2 linked regions of the Caenorhabditis elegans genome follow. The protein of the gene in region 1 interacts with the protein of each later gene in a pairwise test. Each region holds a gene or a part of one and is shown in the gene's direction. Other genes may lie near its edges. The genes, in order: mup-2 and idpb-4.

What was found.
Region 2: the proteins of mup-2 (region 1) and idpb-4 interact in a two-hybrid assay, tested with the Caenorhabditis elegans proteins (one large-scale study listed by BioGRID).

What each region holds. Positions count from the first base shown.
Region 1 is NC_003284.9:6,406,933-6,415,228, reverse strand, and holds mup-2 (Troponin T), read left to right. Parts: upstream 1-5,001; 5' UTR 5,002-5,020; coding exon 5,021-5,043; intron 5,044-5,095; coding exon 5,096-5,164; intron 5,165-5,215; coding exon 5,216-5,327; intron 5,328-5,393; coding exon 5,394-5,771; intron 5,772-5,822; coding exon 5,823-6,029; intron 6,030-6,101; coding exon 6,102-6,530; 3' UTR 6,531-6,758; downstream 6,759-8,296. Other genes in the region: T22E5.6 (uncharacterized protein), read left to right, coding at 5-90, 849-1,067; nssp-78 (Accessory protein 7b), read right to left, coding at 1,790-1,947, 2,200-2,248. UniProt on the Caenorhabditis elegans protein: Troponin T is the tropomyosin-binding subunit of troponin, the thin filament regulatory complex which confers calcium-sensitivity to muscle actomyosin ATPase activity.
Region 2 is NC_003280.10:8,733,545-8,741,066, reverse strand, and holds idpb-4 (Intrinsically Disordered Protein, class B), read left to right. Parts: upstream 1-3,510; 5' UTR 3,511-3,543; coding exon 3,544-3,603; intron 3,604-3,657; coding exon 3,658-3,866; intron 3,867-4,007; coding exon 4,008-4,233; 3' UTR 4,234-4,341; downstream 4,342-7,522. Other genes in the region: Cuticle collagen rol-6, read right to left, coding at 6,870-6,990, 7,041-7,522.

The sequences.
Region 1 (8,296 bases):
GCAGTTGGCCTTTGGATTATTCTCCTACTACTTGTACTTTACGAAACTTACACTGATAATCTTCTCCCATTGTCTCTGAGAAAAGAAGATGTAAGATTTTTACGATGATTCAAAGAAAGTATAAAGTTACTTCATATATTCCAATCGAAGCAGAAGGGTTTCTAGCCTTTAATTCAATAAGCTGTTTGTTCAGCGAAGCGTACTATGAAAATTATTTTTAAGTGTTTTGGTATTGCAACGAGTGTTCTTTGCAAATTTAATAGTCTTTTTTCGAAAGGGTGTATTAGAATCATAAGCTGAAGTTATCTGACGCAAATATGATAAAAATAAATCGTTATGATTTTTACGATTACTTTTTTTAAAAACTTCATACTGAGGAAAATAAAGTTATAATATATTTTGAAGTACTTTATTAAATTACCAAAATCTCTTGTTTTCATCAATAATTTTTCACCCACAAAAAATGTCTACGAAAAAATGAACATTGAAAAAAACCAAAACGTGATGTAAGGTCTGAAAGGTTACCAGCCCACCAATAATTGGAGAATTCTAGGTCATTATAAGCAAATATATAAGTTGTATTTAGCTGAATTCTTCCACTACTCAATAACCTACATACATTTTTAAGACAGAACGCATAAATTATTTTGATACTTCAAATTTATCAAAACGTTATTGATATCAGAAAATTATAGAAATTTCCTAGCTTTTTACTAAAAAAAAAAGTGTAGACGAAATTTGAAAGTTTGAGTTTAAAGAAACATATTTTGGTAAAACGAAGCAAAAAACATATTTTAACTGTTTCCTAGCTAATTAATTCTTGTTATTCAAAACGATTTTATTTTCAGTACAAATACAAAATCGGATCCGGCTTTTGGTTTTTCTTCCTCGGTGGCCTACTTCCATTTATTGGAGCACTCTACTTCTTGTTTAGAGAGCAGATGGATGCATCGAAAACTCGTCTTAGAGGACTTATCAATCGACATCAGCCAATACCATCAAATGTGAACGAGAGTGACCGTGACGGGGTAGAACTGGTCAGGACAAATCATGGAGGAAGGGTGTAGCTTGAGTCTTGCTCAGCAAAATATTGTCAATGTTTCTGAAGCTTTATGTATTTTTACCGATGATTTTATCTAACAAGGAAAGGTTTTTATTTTCCCGTCCCGACAGACATCAAAACGAGAGATGTGCATTCTGCACTCTGAACTCCAACCGTTTTGATCTGAAATTTTTTTCTCTACTTTCCAGCCAGTTTTGGCAGACTTTCGACATTTAAGGATGTTTATGGGTAAATTATCATTTCGGAAATTTTAGTTTTTGAGTGGTACTGAGCCGTTTTCGATTTGATGTCTGAGGGTTGAAAACCTTTCCTTGTAGTTCTACATTACACTAACAATGCTCAAATTTTGTTCAGTCCCGCCGAATTCCAGATCTCAATTTGTTTCTAAATGTATTTTCAGAAAAAATAAAAACATTTTCAAATGATGACGCAATACATATTTATATCTAGAACGGGATCTTCGAGGACTGGAAAATACGTCGTTTTTAGTGTCTCAATCACGCTGCCAGTGATTCCCAAGTGGCCCTCGCAAGCTCGTTTACATACTGATGGGAGCTAAGAAAAGATGCGGAAGAAACACAAAGAAATTCAGAGTATTGTTCTACCATCAATCATGTTTGAGGCATGAAGCGCTACTTTTCGGTGGAAGTTTATCGGTATTTGTTAAAAGAGTGGATAAAAACACGTCACTTTAATTCACTTCATTTTTAAATAAACACAAAAAAATCAAAATAGAGCGGTGAACCGCGAACAAGGACATAATTGATGGCGGCAGACGAATGCGCGACAGCAGAAGCACACCTTGCGATCCTCCTCCAAGTCTATAGTCTCCTCAGGATCAACTTCTGCTCGGTCAATCATTGCGATAAATTTACTGCATACTCCTGAAAGTTAAACAATATTTATAAATGCTGAAATTAATGTGTTAAATATATGTTGTTGGTACTTTAAACTACTTTTACTTCCTACATATTTCAATTTCAACATCACTCTTTTCACTTGTCAAGTCAAAGTAACTAACTAACTCCCACACACACACATACTTTAAATTGAAATATTGCAAGTACAACATGCAGCATGAGAAAAAAGTATCGTAAAACAAAGTATGAAACATTTTCAAACTATGAAAAACGTACCTGCAAAAAGGCAAGCAATCAGAAGAAGTGTGATGAATTTAGGTGACATAGTAAATCTTGTCAAGTAAATACCAAACAAATTGGGTGCAAAAAGAACTTAATAGAAGTCAAGAGGGACAAGTCAAAGTGACGAAAAAGGCGTGTGGCTCCCACTCGAGTTCACAGCTACCCACAGATACCAATTTTAGAACTAGGCCCCGCCTCTCTCCTAAGAAATGGGGTTGAGTTGAAATGCATGGCGTCACTTTTGGGTCTAAATGTGGTGCAGTAAAGTATTAAATGTAGTGTTTATGAAAATAACAATTTTACATAGAAAAGCTGAAGTAACCTGGAAACTTTGAGCAAAATAAAAAATATTTACACCCTTTAAAATGACTCGACTAAAGTTTAAGATTATATCTTCGTAAACTTGGGAATCTATAAAAAGAAAAACTAAATAAAACGATTATTGATAACCTGAGTAATATTTAAAACTGGTTAAAAAACGTCGAAAGTCACTGAAACCCTCTGAATAAATCAGATTTTTTAATTGATTTTGATTCCAACCAGTTGCCAAAAATACTTCCAGAAACATCTCTGAAACGTGTTTTATAGAATAATAGGAAAACGCGCTAAAACACGGTAGCTGCTTGTGATATACACTCATATTTTCAAGACTTAATTTTAGCCATAATTTTTTGAAACACCAATTCTCATTCCTAAAGTCTAGCGAATGACAGCTTTTTAGCAACAAATAATCTAAAAAATTGCTAATCAATAGATCTAATATCTTAAAAAATAGTTCAAAATGATTTTCACAGAGTGAAACTTAGATTTTTAACTACAGAATTACAAATAATTCTAAAAGTTTTCGGTGGCATTAAGCGTAGAATAGCGCGATTGTGGAAAATTGATAAAAATCTATAGTGCCAAAATGGCCAAATAAAAATTGTTTCAAATTTCATGGTCTACCTATGTTTTAAATAATAATATTCAAACATTTTATTCGCTCGAACATGCGACTGTGCTATTTTTTCTCAAAAAGTGATAAAAACTTAGTAATTTTCACTTTTTGTGTGTCAATTTTTTGAATATGTGCAAAGAGTTTTTGAAACTTTTTACTATGATATTTGATAGTTTTGGTACTATAAGAGTGGTAGTTCAGAAAAATTACCCCACTGCCCCTACTCCACCATAGACTAATTTGCTAGTTAGAAACCAAAAATACAATGTTTCAAAAAATATGTTATAAAATACAAGAAAAATACAAGGTGTCAAAAACATACATTTTCTGAATAAGGGTAATTTTTTGACATTTTCGAAAATGTAATCTATATCTTTGATCTCATATGTTAATATCAAATTAATTAGACTAAAGTTTTGAAATTGATGATTAATTACTACATTTATTTTGTATTTCACAAAGATGTTCGTATTTCTTAGAATAACACTATTTTTTTGCAATAATTTAATTAGTGTGGACTGTTGTCACCACATTGAACACACTTTTCGTAATTTTTTTGCCTTGTTTATTATTATGTTCTTTGAAATTAATGTTTTATTTATTATTTAGAATCAATTTTTCAAATTCCCTTAATTGGATCCCCGCAACTGAACCAGACGGCCAATTGACACTGGCTTACAAGAATTTGAATGAAAACGTCTCGAAGATCATCAGCTGCATTCAAATGAAAAGAAAGAATATTTGTATTATTGTTTTGCGTTTTTACAATTGTGCCACCCAAATATTATTCGTATGCTCGCCCCGCTTGTCTTATTGCAGGGGCCACTGTGAGTGGATTTTTGGTGGAAACGAGCTTGTTGGAAAAAGATGATAGCCGATTGGCAAGGTGCCTCGGTAAATTGGAAACTATTACACAAATATCATTGATTTCTAAACATTGAATTTTGAAATTTAATATTTGTAGAAATATTAAAATGATTTGTTTACTTTAAATGGATCAATTTTAAAGAGCACTACGTTTTCATTTGCGCGTTAAAATATTTAAATAAAAGTGATGATTCATTGAAAATTCGTAATTATAAAATAAGTTTACCGTATTTTACCTAAATTTTAACAAAACTTTTTGAACCACATAAATATTTAACGCGTTTTTATTATTTTAAAGCTGACCAATTAGAATTAGTGTGCAGTGGAAGATACAAGAATAATAGGAAAATCACAGTAATTTCTAAAACATATTAACTACTTGTTAGAAATTTTTATCAATTGACCAGTATAAACTATGTTGTTTTTTTCAACTTGTCCAAACTCTTCATCATCATCTGTCTCTTGTTGGTCCCTTGTCTGTGTCAGCGTAGGAGGAAGAGATAGTGAAGTGCACATCTTGGTGATCGAGAGAGAAGCAGAGAAACCCGTTTCTCGAATCAATGTTGGTGATTCAAAAATATATTGAGCCTTCGGATCGAAACATGATGCCCTATTTCTACGATAGCACATCACAGAAGTCTGCGTATTCTGAGGAAACGCAGACTGCCCGCGGGAAGCCCCAGGCAGAGAGAAAGACGAGAGCCACACGAGGAGGGCACGGCTGCTCACTCTGCGTAGGTGTAAGGTTTACAGCACAGATTGTGTCCGTATGTTATACTTTTCTTTTCCCTGAGAGCTCCCGCTCCCGCCAGCCCCTCCCACTTATCTGCCAACGACGGCCTCCCGGAGCAAGCACTTTCATATCTCTTCATTGTCGATTTCAACATCCCACCGGCACATACTCAAATTTCCTTCTTCTTCTGTGTCATCACTTCTTATCAATATGTTTTGAGATTTTGAATTTTGAGAATTTAACTTTCATATAATTACAGAACCTAAACCTAACTAATCATGTCCGACGAGGAGGAGGTATAGTAAGTTATATACCTATCATTTTTCTAGACATTCTAATTTTTAATTTTTTAGCTCTGATGAGGAGGTCGAGGAGGAGGAGGTCGAGGAGACCGAAGAGGCCCCAGCTGAGGCTGAAGAGCCGTAAGTTTAAGCTTTGAATTCGTGATTTTTTGTATAACACTGAAATTGTAGAGAGGAGACCACCGAGGAAGTAGTCGCTCCACCAGAGGTCAAGGAGCGTCGTGCTCCAGTCCAAGAGGAGAAGCCACCAGCGGAGATGACTGAGGCTGAGATTGCCATGTTGGTGAGTATAACTTCTTGGGAGACCTTCCGTTTCATTCATAAAATTGTTAACCAAATTCATATCTAGGCCGCCAAGAAGCGTCACGAGGAAGAGGAAGCCGCTAAACTTCTCGATTACGAGCAGCGCCGTGTTCTTGAGAAGGAGCAAATCGAACAAGAGCTTCGTGAACTCAAGGAGAAGCAAGAGAAGCGCCGAGCTGAGCGTGAAGAGGACGAGCGTCAGTTCGCTGAACGTAGACGTCAAGATGACGAGCGCCGTCGCAAGGAAGAAGACGAACGCAAGGCTAAGGCTGATGCCGAGAAGATCCGCAAGAACGAGGAGAAGGTCCGTCGTCAACAAATGATGGCTGGAGCTTTCAACGGAAGAGTTGAAGCCGGAGCTGGACGCAACTTCACTGTCGCCTCCAAGGGAGACCAAGCTGCTCAATTCGGAAACTTGGCTCAGGTATTTTTATTGTATCATTTTTAAATCGAATACTAATTAAGAAACTTTCAGGCTAAGGGAGGAAAGGATGTCATGAGCAAGGAACAGATGGAGGATGCCAAGAGAAACTTCTTGGCCGCCGTCTGCCGTGTACAAGACGTCTCTGGACTTCTTCCAAACGATTTGAAGGAGAGAATCAGAGGCCTTCATGCTCGTATCGTCAAGCTCGAGGCTGAGAAGTACGACTTGGAGAAGAGACGTGAACGTCAAGACTATGACGTAAGTTTAAACTATTCAATGAGACTTATTTGATATTGTGTGTGACATTCAACCAAATTTCAATTACTTCAGATGAAAGAGTTACACGAGCGTCAACGTCAAGCCGCCCGTAACAAGGCTCTCAAGAAGGGACTTGACCCAGAGGAGGCTGCTTCCTCTGTCCATCCACCAAAGATCACCACCGCTTCTAAGTTCGACCGTCAAACCGACAGAAGATCTTACGGAGACCGTCGGTACTTGTTCGAGAACCCAGAAGAGGAGAAGCAGGCTTCCCTCGTCCGCGGAACCGGACGACCACCAGCAGAGTGGGGACGCAAGCAAAACGAAGAACTCGAGCAGATCCGCAAAAACTTGGAGCCACCAAAGTACGTTGAGCAGGTCAAGGTTGAGGGAGCCAGAGCACCAGTCGAGCCAGTCCCACTCTTCGTTCCAACTGATGACTTCGAGCCACAACAAGTCACCGAGGATCCAAATGTTGGAGAAGAGGTCGTTGTCGAATAAATTTCCTGTTTTTTACCTTTTTTCATTTCACAATTTTTTGATTATCAAATTTATTAAAATAAACCCAATCCCAACCAAAAAAAATCCATTTTCTAATATTCCAATCAAAACTTTTTGCATTTGTTTCCAATTTATTAACCAATTCTCCAATTCTTCAAGTACTCTGTTTCTGCATACTCTCCGGTTTGTGCTTATCAGTAAAGTCTTTATCATAAAAATTGCATTCCCATTCGAATTGTAAGCATTTCATGAAACAGATTAAAACAAGAATTCGTGGAAAGACAAATTTTGATTATAATATTTATTATTAAAGTTTGAATAAGTCGAGTCAACGGAAAAAATATATATGAATAATATAAATTGAAAAAGGAAAGGACTAAGACGGAATTGGAAAAATATGAGAAATTGGGATCTAGCTAATGAGAAAAATAATCGTTTGAAAGCGGTGAGAAAAAATTTGCTTACAACAGCAAAGTTGATGAATTTCTGGGGCAAAGTTTTTTGTGGTAGGAGAGAAAATCGGCATGACACGCCACAGTTTGATGTGTGTAACAAACTAATCAGAGAGGCATTTGAAAACATTCTATGATAAAAATTATACACATTATCAAATTCAAAATCAAGTTATCAAATTCAAAAATAAAAGTTATTGGTTAGATTTGAATAAGCAAAACAGATACGAGACACACATCTGGGGCCAATTTTGAAAACGACCTGGGGAATTTTTAGAGTTTGGGGAGTAGTTATGGTTGGGAAGAACATCTGGAAAGTCTGACAAATAGGCCTCATAGTATTTGCTTATGTTTTTTTTTCGCAAAGTGAGAAATGAAAGCAACGGGGCGAGAACAGTGAGGAACTGGGTTTCAGTAGAGAATTACAACCGAGAAGCAACAAAGTTTACACCAGGAAATCGAGAAATGTACAATAAAATGACAACAGAAAAATAGAATTTTGAAGTGAGAAGAAATAATCAATTGGGATACAAAGACTAACGAGCATAAATTTTCAATAATTGGGATAGAAGTTGATGAGAAATTGGGAATTGTTTTGTTTTAAGAATGAAAAAAATTGAAAGCTTTCGTTTACAGATAGTGTATTCAAAAATGTACCTAGTGATGAAATTACTAATTTGGAGACACAGATATCACTCAGAATGGTCTTTCATTTGTGGATTTATAGTTTTTAGAATGTTGTGAAAAAGTACAAAAAATTCAAAAAAAAAATCGAAAAATATTCGGGTAAAACAGGTAAACAAGTTCATTACAACCAAAAGATTTTCATTTCAAAAAACAAACTCAAAAAATCGATTTTCAATGTGTAAACGTTAATCGTACAATGCGTTTCATCTGATTAGTACATTTTGAGGGAACTTAGAATTCGTCTTTGACATTTGAAATACTGAATTTTAGAAGTTTCACTTATGTTTTTTCAGCTAATATCATGACATTTCCTGACTACAAAACCAGGAAAATGGAAAAAAACAAAGAAAATGGGCTCACAAGAAGATTTTTAAACCTCTAAAATTATTTTTTAAATGTCTAAGCTGAATTTGAAGTTCCCCTAAAAAGTGTATTAGCCACATGAAAAATATTTTTGAGGTAACATTTTAAATACCGAAATTTAGGAGATTATTAAGATTTCTTGAAAAAAAAATGTTCACCCATGATTATAACAAATCATTTTTTAAGAATCAATTTCTTTTTTATTAATTTTACATATTATCACCATTGTATACATTTTCGTACTTTCTTTTACATACTTAACAT
Region 2 (7,522 bases), on another chromosome or scaffold:
AATGAGTGGGTTTGGGGGAATCGATGAAATTGAATTTATCTTATGGGAAACTGAATAGGGGACAAACTACATATGAAAAGTGTTATATGGGGTGAAGAAAGAGTGAGAATTTGTGTTGATCTACTTTCGATCTACCTTTAAATAAATAAATTATTTATTTGATCTTCTGATCCTACGATACTCTAGTCAAGTCGACAAGAAAGTTTTTTTCTTTGATTGATTTGTATTATTTGAAGATAGTTTTGAACTTTCCATCATTCTTCATATTTCTAACAATTTTCGACAATTTTTCATGATGCCATCTCTTTTGCTTCCCAATGATTTTCTTTCAGTTTTCTATTACATCACCCGCCTCCAGAACTTTGATCTGTGTCGTTGGGTTCGGTTCAGTGTTCATTTGATCTTTACGGAATTGAGAAATTTCGTTGAAAAAATTACGCTGCAAAAGGGGGTTTCCTCAAGAGCCAATTTGATAAGAAATCATTGATAACAATTGAGAGGATTCCGGTGATAACTTGATTTCAAAGAAAACTGTGATAGGGGGCATGCAGGGGGCAAAAGGGGTTTCCCGATTACGTGACTTTCCACATAAAGTTTAGTTTATCATCAGTCATCAGTGATATTTCAATGACAACCTTGTGTTATTTTTTTGAAAACAAACGAGAGATACTAACCGGTAAAAGGGGTTAGTTCCACAAACTTTTCAAATTAAAAAACATGATATGCATTTATAAAGACCTGTTTCAGATTTTTAAACTTGATAGCCTTTCATTTATGGAAAGGTGTCATCCTAGATTACAAATGTGTTTCGTTATCATTTTGTCACAGTCTAAAAAAGACAATCAATTTTATTTGACTACATGATTGATTTTTTAATTCTATACCGGAAATATTTGATTTTTTTTTAAAGATTTTTTAAAGTCCAAGATCACTGCCAATGTTGCGGCACTTATAATCATTGGGAATTTTCAAATATTATAAACAACACCAGTTAAAACACTAAACATTGCTCTCTAATTATCTCTACAGTGATCCAAATAATTTTTAACCGGTATTTCAGATGTATAACTTTCAGATCAACAACATTTTCATTCAACCTTTACTCTACTGATAAGATATTTTTCAAAAAACACAGTATACATTTGGTTTGTCGTCTCTCAATCCAATTGTGGACAAAAAAAAGCAAGGGAAGAAAGAATTGGTTTCAATGAAACGGACAACTAGTTTTGCTTTTTATACGATGTTGGTTAATAGATCATCAGCGTACATTTTCTTTCCCATGTCTCTATCGCTGAAGAAAAATATATTTCCTGTTTACAAAAATATATTTCAAACCAATATTGCAAACCAAATTTTGGGCGAGGTTTATTTTGAGCAATTTTGTGATCAAATACAAAATAATGTGCCAAATGAACTGAAATATCCTCATCCTTAATATTAAAATTTATTTGCTTTTTGAACCAATTTTCTAGTAAAATTCTACGTTCGTCAAAGAAAATATGAAACGTAAAGCACAAAGAACACTTGGCACATTTCGGACGTCAGCGGAAGTTTGCTCAAGGCACTGTTTTTTGTCAAGTCATGGATTTACAAAAAACAATGGCGGGAACGCGAACAGGAATGTCTTTGAAATACATGTTTAGTGTGGGAAAAAGTGAAGAGTGTGTCACAGGAAGAATTTTTGAATTTCGGGGAATATTTTCATGATCACTATCAGTTTATTTGTCTAGTTAAGATAAAAGTTTAGGTTTCTCATTTAGTTCGAGTTCTTCACTAATGTTCTACTTCTAGTTGATCTGAATCAAATATTGTGTTCTTGAAAGTCACGAGTGTGCACATCGAACTCCCATTTTGATAACATTTATTTTATGGGAATCACGAATATTTTTGAACTTTTATAGCCCTGTTTATGAGATGATAATATTAAAGATTCAATCAAAAGTTTACATATCAACAACACTATATTCTAGCATAAGAAGAAGACATAAGAAGAGTTTCTCAAATAAAAATCATTTTCTTATCATATTTTATATCCAGTTTTTATGATATTTACAACGAGTTCATCAAATCAATGATTGCACCTATCAAATTTTTAAAAAAGAAAAAGAATAACATGTTTATGAATGTTGCAGATTTTCATTGTTAGAAAGACAATGAAAATTACAGTATCGGACTGATTTTAGAACATTTGATAAAAAGTATGTTCATTGTACATTGTACCGTGATGTACTTTTTCAGTCATTATGCTTCATTAGATTTAAAATGCCCCACGAGAATTGAATTTTCAGTCTTTGTAGCCCATTTTTAGTCTAATGGAAAAAGTCCCAAAACTTTGCTACTCCACCTTTAATTTTAAAAACAATTTTTCCGAATATTCTTTTTTGAAATCTTCCAGATTTGTAATATATTCCAACAATACAGTTACAACATAAACATAAACATTTTTTGCAAGAATCTCAGAGACATCAACCAACATCCCCATTTTACAAGTGTTGTTTTTCTTTTCTTATCACAACACATCTCACCAACGATCAATGTCAATTTAACAAACCAATAGTAGTATTACATAGTGATAAGCGATTTTCGATGACCCAGCTCTATCATTTTGCTGTGTTTTGTTTTGTTTACTGATCGGCTGCTGATCAAAGGGCTTGAATATTCCGAAATGATCAACTGTCAACAAGATACGCAAACATAATTGTCTGAGAGCTTCTACTACATTCAAGTCAGGGCGTATCCTAGAAAAAACATAGAAGACTGGCATTGTGACGTCCCGGTCCTCAATCGGAATGTATCAATTATGAGACATCATCATCATTGCCAATTAAGTATGTCGGAGTTGGCATACATTTTATGTTGGCATACATTTTTACGTATCATCTCCATTTCACTATCACTGGCACTTCATTCATTTTTTTGTGTCTTCTGTCTCCTTGTCATATATCCATTCCAAAAACAAAAGTGTGACCTCCGGCGAGTCACCAAATGTGCAAAAAATGTACCTGTGGGCGGTAAATATGATAAAAATAGATGAGTACTTGACGGAAACAAACGAGTAAAGGTGCGAAGACACAAGTAGTTGATGAATGAAAACACAGTTTTTTTTGCACGGAAACAAGAGCTATCTTTGAGTGATTTGATCAGCTAACTATTGTACAAAGTGATTTCATTTTTTTGTAAGTCTGCGATTTGAGGTTGAGATGGGGTATCTTTTTAGACTAAAATGGAAGAAAGAAGCCGAACATCAGTTTAAAAAGAGAAAGATGGAAGCAATAGTTGTTGATGTTCCTACCTAAGAAAGTTCATTTCAAATAAACTAAATTCCAGTCAAGATCCAAGTGATCAACCATCACCAGTGGGTAGCAAAGTTGAGCAACATGCAAATTGTTTGAATTGATCGAGACATTTTGACAGTTTTCCGCGAGTGATTACGATTACGCAACATGTTGGCCAATATCCCTTCCGGAATGGCAATGAAGCCTGTATAAAAGTGAGGAAGAACTTTGGAAACTCACATCATTCTCATTAACTCCTAATCTTATAATGACTACTTCCACTCTTGCGATTCTCCTTGCCATCGGAACTTTTATTGCGGTTTCTCAAGTGAGAATTATTTTTCAATTACTTAATATCTTCTCAATTTTTCAATATTTCCAGGTTCAATCTGCGGTTCTTCCAGTATCATCGACTGAGTTGGCAACTGTTGGAACTGATGTTTCAACAGCTTCAACTGCCATCGACACTCTAGGAAATTCTAGCTCAAGAGTGAAAAGACAAGGAGGATGTGGGTGCTGCGGTTGTGGATGTGGATGTTGTGGATGCGGAGGAGGAGGTGGTGGATGTGGATGCTGCTGTTGTAGACCAAGGTACCCAGTTTTGGAAATACTTGAAGCTATAAAAAATTTTACCAGATTGAGCATATCATGGAATTTTTAAAAATGGAAATTCAATTTTATTATATAGTTTAATTTTATTAATATATAGTAAGCTTTAACTGAAACTTCTAGATGCTGCTGCTGCTGTCGCCGTTGCTGTACCTGCTGTAGAACTTGCTGCTGCACCAGATGCTGCACTTGCTGTCGTCCATGCTGTTGTGGATGTGGATGTGGATGTGGATGCTGTGGATGCGGAGGAGGAGGACGTAAGCGTCGTTCCCTCCAAAACCTCAGAATCGATGATGCTAACCGTGCTCTCGGAATCAAGAGAAAGTCCTCAAAGGCTGACAGATGTTAAATTCAGTTGATTCTTATTTATTTTTGGCACCCAGCTACTTAACTTATTACTAAAATTAGTAATATTTATCCCAATAATAATAATAATAATAAATTTGTGTTGTCCTTAGCTTTTACGGAATAATGGCAGGTGCAAATGGTTATGTTGACACCTTGGCGGCGCCAAATGCAAACACCCAATCAAAGCATTCTCCGAGAATCTAATTTAAACGTTACTTTTTTCGTTGGGTGGTTTTTTTACATTTCAGTTGCGAGGAAAATTTTTAAAAGAATTTTTAAGTCTTAAAAAAATATGATTGAATTTGCAATTCGCGTTTTGTAATTTTGGTATTGAAAAAAAACGCGGTTGTGCTGTGGGGGTAAACAAAACTGATGAAATTCCGAATTAAAGGCAAAAAATACGCAAAAAGGATTTCACTCTCAAATTAGGGTCTCCAGAAGTCGGTACCATTTGTTTATTTTTTGGACCTCTTTTCATGTTCTCGAGGGCATTCTAATTGGATTCACTGACTCTTGGCATCACTGGGGTCCTTCAAAAAGACCTCCTCTTCATTTTTTTTTTGTTTCTTCCCATTTTCTCAATGCTCACAGCAAAAATACACAAACACACACATGAGAGCAATATGAAATTTCATTATTATTCGATTTCCTAGATCTCTTTTTTGCGACTTTTCGTGTCTCTTTGACTCTTTTTTGTTTTATGTTTTTCATACTTAAAATAAAAAGATAGGAAACCAAAAGTATTATCTGATTCAGTTTTTTCAAAAGTAATTAAAACCATGTTGTTTCCAAATTTTGTAGTTTTGGGCCTCCGGACTAGATACTTTAAGGTGCCTTAACCCTCGTGGTACCGTTGTCTTTATTTTTCAACTTAGTAAAATCATGAAGAAATTGCAAAAAAATATCCGGAAAGTACACTTTTTTTTACTAGAGAAAGCCAAAACATGTTTGAATTCATTTTTTTTTGTTATCGGTCATTTTAAGCTTAATTTTAAAAGATCTAAATAAGTGGTTGAAATCGCAGTTGTGATTAATGACAAGGAAATTGAAGTAAAATAGGAAATAACCTGAATATTTCAAAAACAAGCCCTGCCCACATCTCGGATTAAAATCGTTATTGGAAAAGGTTCTATAAGTTTAGAATCATTGATTCATGTTTCTTGACTCTAAAAAGTATAAAAGAGATCATTTTCGGTTGAGTGAACTTGTCTTGATTCCAACATTTTGCTTCTTTAGTTTATTCTTCTTTTCTCACTCTTTTTACTCGTTTTGCACTTTATAGTTTTTATAGTTCTTTTTCAATATCTCTTTCCCTCCAGTCTCCGCACTTCTCTTTTGCATTGAATTTTATGAGCAGGTTGATGGTGTCGACTCGAAAAGGTTCCAGAGGTTCTAGTTTCAAGCCAAGAGAGGGCAGGCACCAACTGAATTCGTATTCAAAGCAGGAGAAGCTCATGTACGTGTTCCATCTTCTTTTTTTCTCGCTTTCCGTTCATCTTTCCTCCTCTTATTCATCTTCTCGTTTGGGATAACAACAACAAACACAACATTGACGCTTTCCGATTCCCGAGGGCACCACCACGGCGACATAAGTTATTTTTTCGAACAAAAAGAGAGAAAAAAGTCACAGATGTTTTTTCGGGAATTTCGTAGTACGCAAATAGACATTTTTGAGCATTTCCTGAATTTTGAGATTCGTTAACGTGATTTTCAGAAATTATTTTCAAAAGAAAACTTGTTCGTGAAGTGTATGTTAAAGTGAAGAGGTACTAGGTTTTGTTTGCAAGAAAGAACCGTTTTCAAGCTTTTGAACTGAAATTTACAGAAATTGTTTGTCTCGTGCTCAAATCTCCTCAACGTTTTTTTTTCCAAAATCACTTCCAATTGTTTTCCTGATTTTCTATTGTAATTTGTATTTTGAAAAAAATCGACATGCCGCTACAGTTCAAAACAAATGAAAGTTTCCAAAAGTAATTTGTGTTTGAACTTTTGGAACCAAGCTATTCGGGAATCTTTTGATGATTATGCAGAAGTTCTACTTCACTTCTTTCCCCTTTAAGTGAAATTTTTTGTTTTTTTTTTTGAGGTCACATGTTTTCCAACTACTCGGTCTTGAACTGAAATCTGAAAATTGAAATGATTTTCAAAACTTTGTCGTTTTTGTTCACCTTCGTTCTTTTCTTTCTTTTCGACTCAGTTTTCAACGTTTTCCTTCTTTCTATCGTCACTCTCCCATTATTTCCTTCGTTTTTTCCTCGTCTAAATATATTCATGAAGTGTTTTTTCCGACCTTCTCACCTTTTCTCTTATTTTTCCTTATACTAATAGGTTCCATTTCTAGCAATATAAATCGAGTGCCAAATACAGATTAATAGCTGTTCTAGGTCGTGCATTTTTCCTTCTAAAAGGATGCTCTCCAATTTCTATTAGTTATTCTGTTCAAGTCATACTAACCTCTTGTTCTTCTACACCAGTGTTTTTTTGCAAATGCACTTCCAAGCTTGTGACATAATTTATACAGTTTTGTATTTTAATTATTTTCCCCAAGAAAGTTCTTAACATCCATGGTAAACCAAATACAAAACAAAAAATTTTGAGAAGTATGTTTTATTTTTTGGAAAAATGTCATGAATTTGTCTACAATTGGAATTTGCGATGACGTCTGGCACTTCGTCCAGCATCTCCTTCTCTTCCTGGGCATTTGCAGTATTCGGCATCTTTTCCTGGAAGTCCTGGGGCTCCTGGTGGTCCTTCTGGTCTGAAATTTTTATATTTACAAGAAGTCGTTTAATATTTTTTTCATCCTACCCGTCCTCTCCAGCAGCTCCTCCATATCCTTGAAGGCCTGGCTCTCCTTGTGGTCCAGACTGTCCTGGATAAGCATCTCTTCCAGTTGGTCCCTGTGGTCCTTCTGGCCCAGCCTCTCCTGGTGGTCCTCTTGGTCCTGGGCGGCCCAATGGTCTCTCTCCATCGTCTCCCTTTCCTCCTGGAGATCCTGGCTTTCCATCGGATCCTGGGGCCCCTGGTGGTCCACAGTCTCCTGGCATTCCTGGGTTTCCGTCTCTTCCTGGACGTCCTGGTTGTCCACGAGCTCCGCGCATTCCTCTGAGTCCTGGAGCTCCATTTGGTCCTTGTGGTCCAAGTGGTCCTTGTGGACAGGTGAAGCATCCTGTTGGTGGGGTGTTTTGAACATCTTCGGCATCTTTTCCGTCAAATCCTGGGACTCCGTCTTGTCCATCGTGCCCATCTGGTCCTTCCTCTCCTTCTGGTCCAGCTGGTCCTGGTGGGCA